Tribolium castaneum: one gene and its partners. The protein of the gene in region 2 purifies or fractionates together with the protein of the main gene of each other region. This does not show direct contact. Links are inferred from orthologs where the notes say so. Each region holds a gene or a part of one and is shown on either strand. Other genes may lie near its edges. The genes, in order: IFT46, nompB and IFT57.

Region 1 (3,461 bases), on a different chromosome or scaffold from region 2:
TTTATTATTATAATAATTTATTTATTTTGATCGAGAAACCAAACATAAATACAGGGTGAGGCATTTTTTTTTATAAAATCTAGTGCGTGTGCAGGAACATTATTAAAAAGTATTTGATAATTCGATATCATTTTAGTTTTGACAGTTCTGACCAGTTTGTGGTCATAATATAATAATAAATAATAAATAAAATAATAATAATAGTAAAAAATAATAATAAAAAAGTAATATAAGACTCAAACAAATTTTTGTCATCAAAAATCTGGGACTTTTGAATCATCCAGTATTTGTGGTCACTCAAGATCAAGTTGCCTACGCAATTACGCACCAATTATGCTATTTTTAAAATATGCACATTTTATCAAACACTTTTAATTATTATTTACTTGCACGAGCTTGCAATAACAGACTATAGGTAAGTATTTCACAGAAGGGCAACAGGAATTGTAAACATAGCTTCGGCAAGACCAAAAGGGCATTTAAATTAATCGAGATCAAGGCTAAGATAATTGATTTATTTTGTAATTATCAAGAGTGTCCTCTAATCCAGTACCAACTGATCGGCAACGTTTCCAATCGACTCGCTTTCCTCAACTTTCCCAAGTTGGCCGTTTTTGAACAACTGCGAGCTTTTGACAGCTGCAAACAGCGAAAACAGCAAATGCAACGCTTGGATTTTATTTTTGACCGGAATTTGAAACAACCCGCAAACTTCCTGCACATAATCACTCAAATTTCCCTTAGGTTCCGGAAATCCGTTCTCACTCAGCTGTTTTTCCATACTTTCGGGCCATTCTTGCATCAGCTCGTCCAAATCGGGCATCGGTCTGGAAAACTCAGTCAGGTCAAGTCACTCAAAGTCTAACCTACTCTGTGTAACGAACGGCCGGAAACGACTTGCTTTTATGCAACGCTGAAATGTCTTTAATCCACTTATCGATGATTTTGGCGTTTTTCTCAACATTGTCGATTTTTTTGACCACCTGTTGGTGTAAAGCATGACTGAGGGGTGGGGGAAAGCGGGGTTAGGTACCACAGTGCTGTCATTGGTCGTTTTGACCGACTCCGCCCTCAGTTGCAAGTGTAGCAAGGCCGGGTCACTCTGATTGGCCGCCGGTTCGTCCAAAACCACCAGTCCCAGCTGCTGATTGGCTACGAAGTCCGCGTCGGAGAGCAACGTTTTTGGCGGGAGGACTTTTAAAAACGCGTCAATGTCGCCAACCGCTGGGAGAAATTCAGGCACGAAGGGTTTGAACTTGTGGTCCAAACCCATTTGTTGGGGGATGTACCTAAATATTTAGCAGCCCTGTAAGTATTTCAATCGACTCACTTTGTTATGTATTGAAATATGTCTTTAATTTCGGGACTAACGTCCAAATTTTCGTACTCCTTCGGGTCATATTCACCCGGAATTGCATCCTTTGTTTTTTCTTCGTCACTGTCGTCTTCACTGTCACTCGATAAACCTGTTGGTTTACGTAAGACAGTTTGGCGGCCCGAAGGGCCGGCGCTGGGGATTTTAGATAAGTGTTTGTCAGGGTCGTAGTCGGTGGCCGAGGCCTGAAAATCTAAGTACGGTTCTGGACACAGGTTGGGGGTTTTACCTGTCTGGTGGCCATTTTGGCTAAATTGGTTTCGTAATCGTTGATTGTTTGCGAGTTTGAGCGTTCAGATAACGCGCCTCCGTATTTTTTGAGGATTTGCTCATCGAAATTTTCGCTCTCTTCTTCGTCCTTTCAAGTGAAAATTGGGTAAAAATTTATTAGGGGAAATACCTACAACTTACGTCAACAATTGAAAATGACCGTTGCATTTTTGTGTCAAAATAATGATTTTGATTTAGAAATGGCGTTGTTTTGTTTGTATTTCGTTACTTAGCAACCGAGTTGCGTGGATACTGAACAGGGGATGTAACTTGATTTGTTTTTTTATGCGTTAGTATGATTTTTAGAAAATGATACAATCAAAAAAACGACTGTAAGTCAATTTTTTTTAATGAAAAATGGAATAACTATTTTTTCAACAGCACGCAAAACTAGGTATAGAGGGTGTTTCAAAATTGACGAATTCCAAGTTCAGATGAAAATTGTTTCGGTAGTCCAATCGTAAAAAAATTAAATAATAAAAATAAAATAAAAAAATGCAGGGTGCTCAAAAACTGGCGCACCAACTCAGTGGTACGTTGTTGAGAAGCATGTGTAGATCACGGGAAAAATCTTGAAAAAATTCCTAAACCCATATTTAAAAAAATCTGGAGCTACAAACTTATTTTGTTAACTTCTTCAGTTTTCATTATTTTTTTATGTTTTTATGTTTCATACCAGGTAATCGTTCCGTAACAAAACGATGAATAATTATTTTAAAATTTACTATCAGATTCTAGCAGTTTTTTTAATTTAAAAAAATTAAAATTTATCCAAAAAATCCCAATGTGTAGATGTGCCAACACTGGGAATTATTTCCTAGGAAACCGTTTCAAAAATAATTTATTTTTATTGTTGCTCAAATTCTATTGCGATCAGGACTATTAGACAACGTTGCCACATATCATTTATCTAAAATCCGTTATTTATCAATAACTTTAATACAAAGAATTTTTTTACTATTTTTACCTTTATATGTAACCAGTTCTCTACCACACACCATTGAGTTAGTGCGCCAGTTTTTGAGCCCACTGTATAATAAAAAAATTAAATAAAAAAATATAATAAAAAATAAAATAAAAAAATAACATGAAAAAAAATAAAAGAAAAAATTAAAAAAATTAAAATAGCTTTCTTATGGAGCAAAAAATTTTTAAGTTTTTGTAATTTGCCGTTTCAATTAAAGAAAAATATAAGTTTTTTTTACTTCAAAATGAAGTTAATTTTTCGAAAAATTGTTTTACATTGTTGTTTTCCACAACCACCTACATCAAAATTAACAATAGACATTGAAATTTTTAACATGCTAACCAATGTGTCTTTGTGGGGAAGCCTCGAATTTTCTACATTTGGACTACTGAAGTGATTGTCTACAATGCTCTGAACTGGGAATTTGCCAATTTTGAGACACCCCCTGTATATGTTTTTGAGGAAATAAAAAAATCTGAACCACTCCATTTTAAAAAATCCTAGTTTTTTAGGGTTGACTGTACAAATTATAATACTTGTATCAAAAAACTTCATACACGATAGCATAATTTGTCTTATTTGTCTAATTAACATTTTTTCCTTCCTAATTAAGGAACAGTAATTATCGTTTAAATTTCTAGAAATGTGCTTGCGTGTTTATAATACATAATAGATAGAAAAAAGTAATAAGAATAACAAATTAATATGTACCCTGGTTCTATGAAATGTCTTAAAATATTTTAACTATCTTGCTATTTCATTTCAGTTCTTAGTAAAATTTCGCAAATTCACATAAGTACGAGTCCTAACAACTAAATATTTGGACGAATACATTTTTGTAAACAAAAC
Region 2 (4,169 bases):
GAATGCAAAAAAAAACTATTTAGGGCTTTCATAATGTGTTTTTTTCCAAAATATTTTGACATTAGATTGATTTTAATGGAATTATTTTTTGGCTAATTTACTGGACAGATTTTTCTGTGGTTATACAGAGATAGGACTTTAAAAAATTTTGGTTTTCTCAAAATATTTAATCATTGGTTCGTTATTCGTTACTATACGAATTATTTTTTGGCAAATAATTCGTAACATTTTGTTTTGTTTTTCTCAAAATATTTTGTGTTTGGCTCGTTTTGTTTTGGCTTTGGAATTCCAAAATAAATTATTCAACATCGCATATTTTTAATTTTTTTCCGGATACCTTTTATCCCATCTATTGTAAAAATTACTTCAATGTGGTAGTGGTGGGCTTGTTGTTTATCACCATCGTGGTCGTACAACTCGCCCATTTTTTGCAGCGCCCCAGCGTCCGTTGGTACAAGACCCAGCAATTGTTGGTACATGTCGGCAGCGGCTTCGCTGTCACCCTTCAATTCTAATAAATTAGCAACTTGGTAAACCACATTTGGGAGAAGGGCAAGCGAGCCTGAAAATCTCTGAAAACACTGAAGGGCTTCCGCGTAGTGTCCTTGCCGTTTCAGCACCAAACCTACGAAATTTGGTTTTGTGTTTCGTTTTTATGTAATGAATTAAGCGTACCGAGGTTGTAAATTGCCTCAAAGTGAGTCGGATCTAACTCCAAGGCGTTTTTGAACGAGTTAATGGCATCTTCCGGCTGTCCTTTCGCCATTAAACACGCTCCCAGGTTTACATAACCGTCCGCACTTTTTGTGGGATTTGTTTCCACAACTTGCGCGTATTTCGTTGCATTTTCGATGTCTCCTTGCTTCAATAAATGAAATTAAATTTTGTTAATTATTTACGTGGGGGTTACCAAGTAATAAATGAAACTCAAATTAATTGCAGCGTTGATTGCAATAACTGAGTCTTTTTCAAAGGCTTTCAACGTGTCGATTGCTTCAGGCAATTGGTTTTGTTTCAAAAACATTACCGCTTTATTAATTTCGAGATTTGAGGCCAGTCGAGCGTATTCTGAATTTTTTATCGACATTACGCACCAGTCATAGCCTTTAAATGTGTTTTAGTAAAAAAATTATTATTGCTTTAATCGCTTTTAATCACCTAAACTAAATGTGTCTTCAATTAAAGGTGCTATAAGCTTAGCTGCCGTTAAAATGCAGTATTCGGCGTCCTTGCATTTTTTTATTTCGTATTTATGTAAATCGTCGTTTTGAATAGCCATAGCGATTAGTACATCTTCTGGATTGTCCTAGATGTAAAAACAATAATATTATGAATTATTTATGAAATTTTTGTACATATTACTGCTTTGTACCTGTTCAAGGTTGTATTTTTCTTCATCTTCGACTTCCAGAGGAACGTTAAGTAACATGGAAAATGCTGTTTTCATTCTATCTCTATCTTCCAAAGCTCTGCAACAGATAATTAAGTGCAAGCCTGCCCTATGACAAGCTTGTTCGCCCATTATGTACTCCAGACTTGAAATTGCTTCTTCCCATTGGCCCATTTTGATAAAAACTAACGCAATATTGTGCATTATTTTGATTCTGTAAAACAAAAACTAGATTTTTCCCAAAATTGTTAAAAAGTACCTCAGATTTTTTTGACTTGAAGACACTTGGTCCAAAGCCATGCGATACATTTTGACCGCCATTTGGAACTGGCCTTGTTTGAAATAAATATTGCCCATATTTATCTTCAAACGGTGTGCATTTGAAAACATTCGATTTTTTATGATCATTTGGTACGTGCTGAGTGCTTCTGTGTATAATTCATTGGCTGCGTACTGGTTACCAAGTGTGAACAAAACCTGGAAGCTCAATTTGAGTAACCACTAAAAAATTTTTTTGGACAAACTGACAACAAAAGTTAAATCAATATCGTGCAAGTCACTCAGATCAGACTGTTCCTGCATTTTGATCAAAACCCGCTCCTTATTTGACGCTTCTTTAGCCTTAGAGAGCGACTTCCGATAGTCACCCTCGCATTCCGCGACACACGCCTCTTCCACAAGCTGCATGATTTTTGCCTTTTGTTGCCGAATTTTCTGTTCGGGACTAGATCAAAAAAATTAGAAATTAGCAACGAAAGACAAACAAAATTACGAGTCATCCTTTTGCAACTCCAGAGGCGGCGTTGGGGCCGAAGCAGCTTGGTTCAAAGGGTCGAAAGGTTTCCCATGGGAGGTGTACCCAGCCCCGCGCACCGCCGTCATGGGCCTGTTCACCACATCGGCCCCAGTCCCTGGTCTGAACCCAGTTCCGGGTTTATACCCAGTTCCCGGTTTTTCAAAACTCGTCTGCTTAAAGTTAGTCGTGGGTTTGAACCCAGTCCCGGCCCTGTATCCCGTTCCAGGCTTGTAGGGGGTCTTGGGAATCCCGGTTCCTTGTCTTTGAAACTGCAATAGTTGGTTTATTTGATGGTTTGCAATTTTGTGACTTGCCTCTGTGGTTGATCCCAGGTACATTATGGGCTTAGGGGTTGATAATCTGGCCATTTCTGCGATTCTTACACTTTTGGTTGTTACAAAATCGTCGGTTGGGGATGACGTGTTGTTGATTGCAATGAAATCAGGCGACTCAATTGCGGTCATTTTTTCGTTATATTTTGCGGTATTTAAAGAATTAGGTAATGAAGGGGTTTCTGGGTTCGTTTATTGATTGTTTACTAATAGGTTTAACCTTCTGAAAGACTCGTTTCGTCGATAAGTTGGGGCTGAAGGCGTAGGTGTTTGTTGATGTTGGGGGTTGCCCTAACAACTCCAATTATCAACACAGGCCCACATGGGGGTACCTGTTGTTTATTATTATTTTATTCAAGGAATTACCAGTAGATACTAGTCGGTATGTATTTTTCAAGTTTTCAAATATTTTTTTATATTTTGAATCGATTTTTCGTATTTATTTTTTACAACAGCTATTGTAAAAAATCATTTAAAGTTTTGACCGTGGTTTGAACAGTGATAACAAATAATTTAATAAATTATTGGCAATAAAAGCAATATTTTTTTATTTAATACTTTTCGCGTCTTGGAAACTTCTGCAACACGCAACTTGGGCGCTTGCGCCCACCTCAGTTTGACAGTTCTTCGTGTTACGTCTTTTTCACAAACGTTGTTTTCGTAATTTTTCCAATCCGCCGTGAATTTCCGCTTTTTTCATGTTTATTGTCCTTCCGCCGCAACTCTAGCCTTGTTCTCGTGTTCGCGGGCCGTGTGGGGGCCCAGTATGTAGTATTAAGTCGAAAACACGAAGTGTAATTTGTTGGAATTGTTAATACACCAAAATGGCCGCAATCGACCCTTCCCGATATAACGAGCTGTGCAGACTTTGTGCCGCAACAACCACGATGATTCTGGCGGTCCACATATTCCAAAACGACGGAATAATAAGCCAATTGCGGAAAAAAATCGAATCTTGCCTTTCCATTCAAGTAATGCGAATGTTAGGTTAGGCGCTTGCCTCCTCACCACTTGTGTTTACTAGGTGCACGAATCCGACGAGCTTCCCAAGATGGTGTGCGAGAACTGCATCTATAAGCTCAACTTGTTGGCGGAGTTTAAGGAGAAGACGATTCTCACGGAGAGGGTGTTGATAGATTTGTTGAAGCAGATCAATTCCAGCAAGCAGAGCATGGGGGTTGTGCCCATGGAGCACGAGCTGATCATGACGCAGAACCAGCAGATCTTGGCCAACCATGGCATGGGTGGGGTTGATGAGATTGATTTGGCTCACTTGGGGCCCAGGGAGCAGCTGATTGTGGGACATGAGATCATTTTGACCCATCAGAGTGTTGATATCAATGGTCACCCTCTTGAAAACATTAATTTGAACCACCATGAGTTAAACCAGGACATTTCTAACCACAGTTTGCAAACGCAGGACTCAATTTTGGTGGAGAATGGTAGTGCGAGGTTTGCCGGTGATAATTTAGATTTAATTCCGCATCAGCAGTTGTTGAATGAGCAGTTTCGGTTGCAACACGAGTTGCATGTTAATATGAGCGCTGAAAATACCGTTGATGGGATTACTTTAAGTGGGGGTTTGGATAATACTGTGGTTCACTCAAAGGTGAGCACTTGTGCCCCTAGTGTGAGATACTTATTTTTTTTT
Region 3 (4,101 bases), on a different chromosome or scaffold from region 2:
AAATTGCTGATAAATGCAAAAATTGGTGAAATTTTAAAAAATTCGTAATTAAAAAACTATTGGAAATTTGTCGATTTTCTCAACGCCAATCGATTCCCCGGCTCATTTTACACAAGTTTACATCAAATTACTCCCACCAATAAAACAACATAATACATCACAAACTTTTATTGTTCTAGAAAACCGAAATCGCTTGTCCAAACTCAGTTTCCAAATTTTTCTCGTCTCGAATTTTCGACTGGAGCAAAATACACTCCAAAATTCCAATCCTTACATCCATTTCCACAATCTCAGACTTGACCTTACCCAACTGTTTCTTAATATTAACCAAAGGGGCTGAAAAAAAATTATTTATTGTAATATCTACAAGACGATAAAATATAATTTCAAACGCTTGATAAGATAGATAATTGTGAATTTTATCCTTCCATTATATTGACTGAAAAAATGTCAAAAACAGAAAAACAGACACGGTTGCGAACTTTATTTTCCCAGCCGATAAAATTCCGTTTTACCATAAAGTACCCAACCAGTGGATAAAACATACTTCCATCCGTCATCGAACTCCCTCTCTCCTCCATTTGCTGTTTGACTGTCTCCAATCGATCCGTTAGCCTGAACAGCTCGCGATTCCTCTCAGCAACCCCCTCGCTGATCCCCTTATAAGCATCTCTGATTTTCGAGAGCTGATCTTGCAGCATTCTATATTCATCCAAATTATTCTCCAGCTCCCGATTGAGAAACTTCTCTCGACTTGCGATTTTATCAAGCGTTTGACTTATCTCCTTATGCAACTTCTCCAACTGTGTTTTAACCACACCAAGTGACGAGTCAACACTGACTTTGTATTGCTTCATTTGCTCTAAATGCGAACGCCAATCACGGTTTTCATTCTTAACTGTGATTTTTAAATGCGGGAGAACTCGCTCCAGTTCCAATTTCCACGCTTCTTCATTTACGTTCATTTTGATTTCGGCCATTTGGGGCTCTTTCCGGGCCACTTTCACGTTATCAAGGAGGAAAAGGTTTTCCTCGTCGGAATCGTCCGTGTAAGCTGCCAACATTTCCTCCTCCACACGGTCAAGGTTTATCTCGGATTCGTCGTTTATCAGCTCGCTTTCTTCCGCTTTTTCCTCGGGAAGCAAAGGCCTAACACAATTTTTAAAGCAAACAAAGGGGGATTTACTCACTTTTGGAACATGAAATTTTTCTCCAAAGCCTTGCTGGCCAGACTGTCCAAAATGTAAACCACTTGTTCGCCCACACCTTGCATCAGCTTATTGGCGTGGAAATTAACAGCAATTTCCTAGAATTCGGATTTTAATACTTGGCCAATAAATTAGTGGATGGAAACAGAATTTTTGATTTTACGTCTGTTTATTTTTTGATATTTGTTTTTTTTTGGCAAAATTTAGCGAAAAAAATGAGTTCCTAGCTGAAAAATTAAAAGTGCTTGAAAAAGGCGCAAATTTAGCGATAGTTTGGATATTTTTTTATTATTTTTAACTGAAATATTTAAAAAAATTCACAAATTTGGGGATTTTGTGGGAGATTTATTGTGAAATTTGCCAAAAATTTCGTGTTCCTAAGACGAAAACGTGCAGAAAATCATAAAAAACTATGTAAAACTGTGTTATTTTAAAATTGAGGTTTAATTTTTTATTAAGAATTTCTCGAAATATGAGAATTTTTACCTGAAAAATCAACTTACACGCTTGAAAAATTCCAAAACAACGCTAATTTTACCATAATTTGTTGCTTTTCGACGAAATTTGGTGGAAAATTAAAGTTTCAAATTAAAAAAAATGCTTAAATGTTTGAATTAAACTTTTTTGACCTGACCTGACCTGACCTAATTTGCTGTTTTTTTGTGTTTTTTGTCTCAATTTTGTGCCAAGATGCACAAATTTGACGATAGTTTAGATATTTTATATTAATTTTGACGAAAAACACATTAATTTCGTGATTTTTTAAGAAATTTATGACGGAATTCAGCAAAAATTTCGAGTTTTTGGACTCATTTATTTCAGAGTTTCTCAAAATAAGGAATTTTTGAACTTGGAAAATTCCAGAATATTGTCTTCTTTACCGTAATTTGCTGCTTTTTGACAAAATTTGGTGAAAAATTAGAGTTAAAAATTTAAAAAAAATGCTATAACGTTAGAATAAAACGTTTTTTCGATCTAATTTGCTGTTTTTTTGGGGTTTGGTGATTTAATTTAACGATTTGGGAATTAATATATAGTCTAAAGTTTTCAAGAAAAAATTCTAGTTCAAACATTTTATATAAAATTGGCCACAAAATATCTAATTTTAATTATTCTTATGCTATTTTGGTGGTTTTTAAGAGAGAAATCGTTGAAACTTTTATGTTTTTTTCGAAAAAAATGTGCAAATGTTACTTCTACTGTCGTAGAAAAAATATAGTATGCAACTCGCTTTATAAACTCGTGACAAAAATGACGTATCATACTGTGTTTTGTAAAAATACCAACTTATATTCTGTTTCCAACCATAGTGCAAATTTCAATAATGAATTACATTTTTTCGCACCACATCTAGTATTTTTTCCACGGTCACATTCGGGTCATCATCCTCTTGTGGCGTTTGGAAACTAATTCCAATCTTCTGTATTAAATAGGCCGCCAATAAGGCAAACAAATAAAATTGTTCGCCCGGGTTTTTGGTAACAACAAAATAATACCTGTAATTAATTCCATTACTATTTGAATTATTAAACTGGGGACTTTCCTATGGATGGGCTTGAGCTTAGTTTCCTTGAAAAATTCAGCTTCGTAATTCAACAATTTCAACTTATCTAGAAGCCCTTCCATTTGGCTAAAAGCCGAAAACGTTTGTTCACTCTCTTCTGACATTTTTTGGCGTAAAATTTCGTCAATTTGTATTCGTATTGTCATGGTAACGTGCGGCTCCGCCCACTTAGAGGGCGCCACATTTGACAAAAACAGTAATGGCGGCCGGTTGCTAAAAGTGGGCACAGCCGTCTCAACCAAACTCGAAAAAAAGCCAAAATGTAACGAAAATTTCGTAAAATTGTATTATGAAGCGTTGTGCCAAACTATTCGCTGTTGTATTTTTGGTTTTTGTTAGTGTTGCTAGTGTGATAAGACTGTGTTTTTGCTTTTGGTCTGGATTATTTGAATCGGACAATAAACCGGATGGTAAAGTCGATGAATGGCTAGAACGGAACAATTTGTCACCGTTCAAGGACTGTTTTGTTGACAAAGGTGAGTGAAATTAATGACTGATGACGTTGGAAAAAGCAGCGAAACGCGCCTGATTAAGGGTGCAAATGTAAGGGTGCGAGGGCGCAGTATCGGAATACAGTCGCCCAGGGTTACAAACAAAGCCAGGCACTGCAGTCGCTGGCGAGCACCCATCGACCCAGCACCTGCTACCACAGAAATACCATGAAACCCCTTGAAAACTCGCTCCGTATCAATGTAACATATCTGGGTTTGTTTTGTTGGTTGTGAGTGTGTTGTGTTAAAATGTTGTGGGATGACGATACTGAAATTTGCTCAATTGGCATGACCATGCAGCCGTCCGCTAGTGCCTCCTCTGGTAAGAATTAATTCAAAACACCAGGCCATTTTTTGGGGTGTAATGGCGATGGTAATTATACCACTGAAGGCGAAATGGTGGATGCGCCGGTTCTAAAACACGCAACTTGATTTTTTTCATGATTTTGTAAATTTTTTTATTTTGAATGTGTACCAATAATAAAAGTTGGTCATCTCACAGCAGGGAGTAAATGTGGAATTTGTTGGGCAAACAAATAGTAAAATTAAAATGGTTGCGGTTAAAATTCTACCATAAACTGTAGTCGTTAAAGTAACTCATTAGGGTCGCGTGTTATCGTTTATCAAAGGATATGTTCGAGGTAGGTTGGCGTGTTCAAATGCTGCCAACTTGGACGCATTTTGTGTTGGAATGATTTTTGGTGATTTTTTATTTTTATAGTTGGGGATTATTTGACTAAAAAAAGATTGTATAATTGTTAAAGACTTTACGTTTTTCTCTATACGTGATTTTTTTTCTCAGAATTTTTCGCAATTATTTATTTTCATATTAAACTAA

The links.
Region 1: the proteins of nompB (region 2) and IFT46 purify together in Homo sapiens (affinity purification with mass spectrometry; 3 studies listed by BioGRID and IntAct, with this or other methods). This does not show direct contact. The link is inferred for Tribolium castaneum from reciprocal best matches to the Homo sapiens genes IFT88 and IFT46.
Region 3: the proteins of nompB (region 2) and IFT57 purify together in Homo sapiens (affinity purification with mass spectrometry; 3 studies listed by BioGRID and IntAct, counting the BioPlex papers as one, with this or other methods). This does not show direct contact. The link is inferred for Tribolium castaneum from reciprocal best matches to the Homo sapiens genes IFT88 and IFT57.

Annotation. Positions count from the first base shown.
Region 1 is NC_087400.1:5,250,622-5,254,082, reverse strand, and holds IFT46 (intraflagellar transport protein 46 homolog), read right to left. Parts: upstream 1,914-3,461; 5' UTR 1,814-1,913; coding exon 1,787-1,813; intron 1,734-1,786; coding exon 1,605-1,733; intron 1,561-1,604; coding exon 1,331-1,560; intron 1,290-1,330; coding exon 1,034-1,289; intron 984-1,033; coding exon 871-983; intron 828-870; coding exon 542-827; 3' UTR 502-541; downstream 1-501. UniProt on the Homo sapiens protein: Forms part of a complex involved in intraflagellar transport (IFT), the bi-directional movement of particles required for the assembly, maintenance and functioning of primary cilia. May play a role in chondrocyte maturation and skeletogenesis.
Region 2 is NC_087394.1:29,197,854-29,202,022, forward strand, and holds the start of nompB (intraflagellar transport protein 88 homolog), read right to left. Parts: upstream 2,917-4,169; 5' UTR 2,651-2,916; coding exon 2,501-2,650; intron 2,456-2,500; coding exon 2,163-2,455; intron 2,115-2,162; coding exon 1,919-2,114; intron 1,868-1,918; coding exon 1,650-1,867; intron 1,605-1,649; coding exon 1,373-1,604; intron 1,307-1,372; coding exon 1,159-1,306; intron 1,105-1,158; coding exon 911-1,104; intron 863-910; coding exon 676-862; intron 626-675; coding exon 366-625; intron 1-365. Other genes in the region: zinc finger protein 260, read left to right, coding at 3,343-3,489, 3,543-4,127. UniProt on the Homo sapiens protein: Positively regulates primary cilium biogenesis. Also involved in autophagy since it is required for trafficking of ATG16L and the expansion of the autophagic compartment.
Region 3 is NC_087402.1:750,015-754,115, forward strand, and holds IFT57 (intraflagellar transport protein 57 homolog), read right to left. Parts: upstream 2,934-4,101; 5' UTR 2,919-2,933; coding exon 2,750-2,918; intron 2,703-2,749; coding exon 2,542-2,702; intron 1,307-2,541; coding exon 1,191-1,306; intron 1,150-1,190; coding exon 548-1,149; intron 337-547; coding exon 176-336; 3' UTR 154-175; downstream 1-153. Other genes in the region: apoptosis-resistant E3 ubiquitin protein ligase 1, read left to right, coding at 3,062-3,248. UniProt on the Homo sapiens protein: Required for the formation of cilia. Plays an indirect role in sonic hedgehog signaling, cilia being required for all activity of the hedgehog pathway.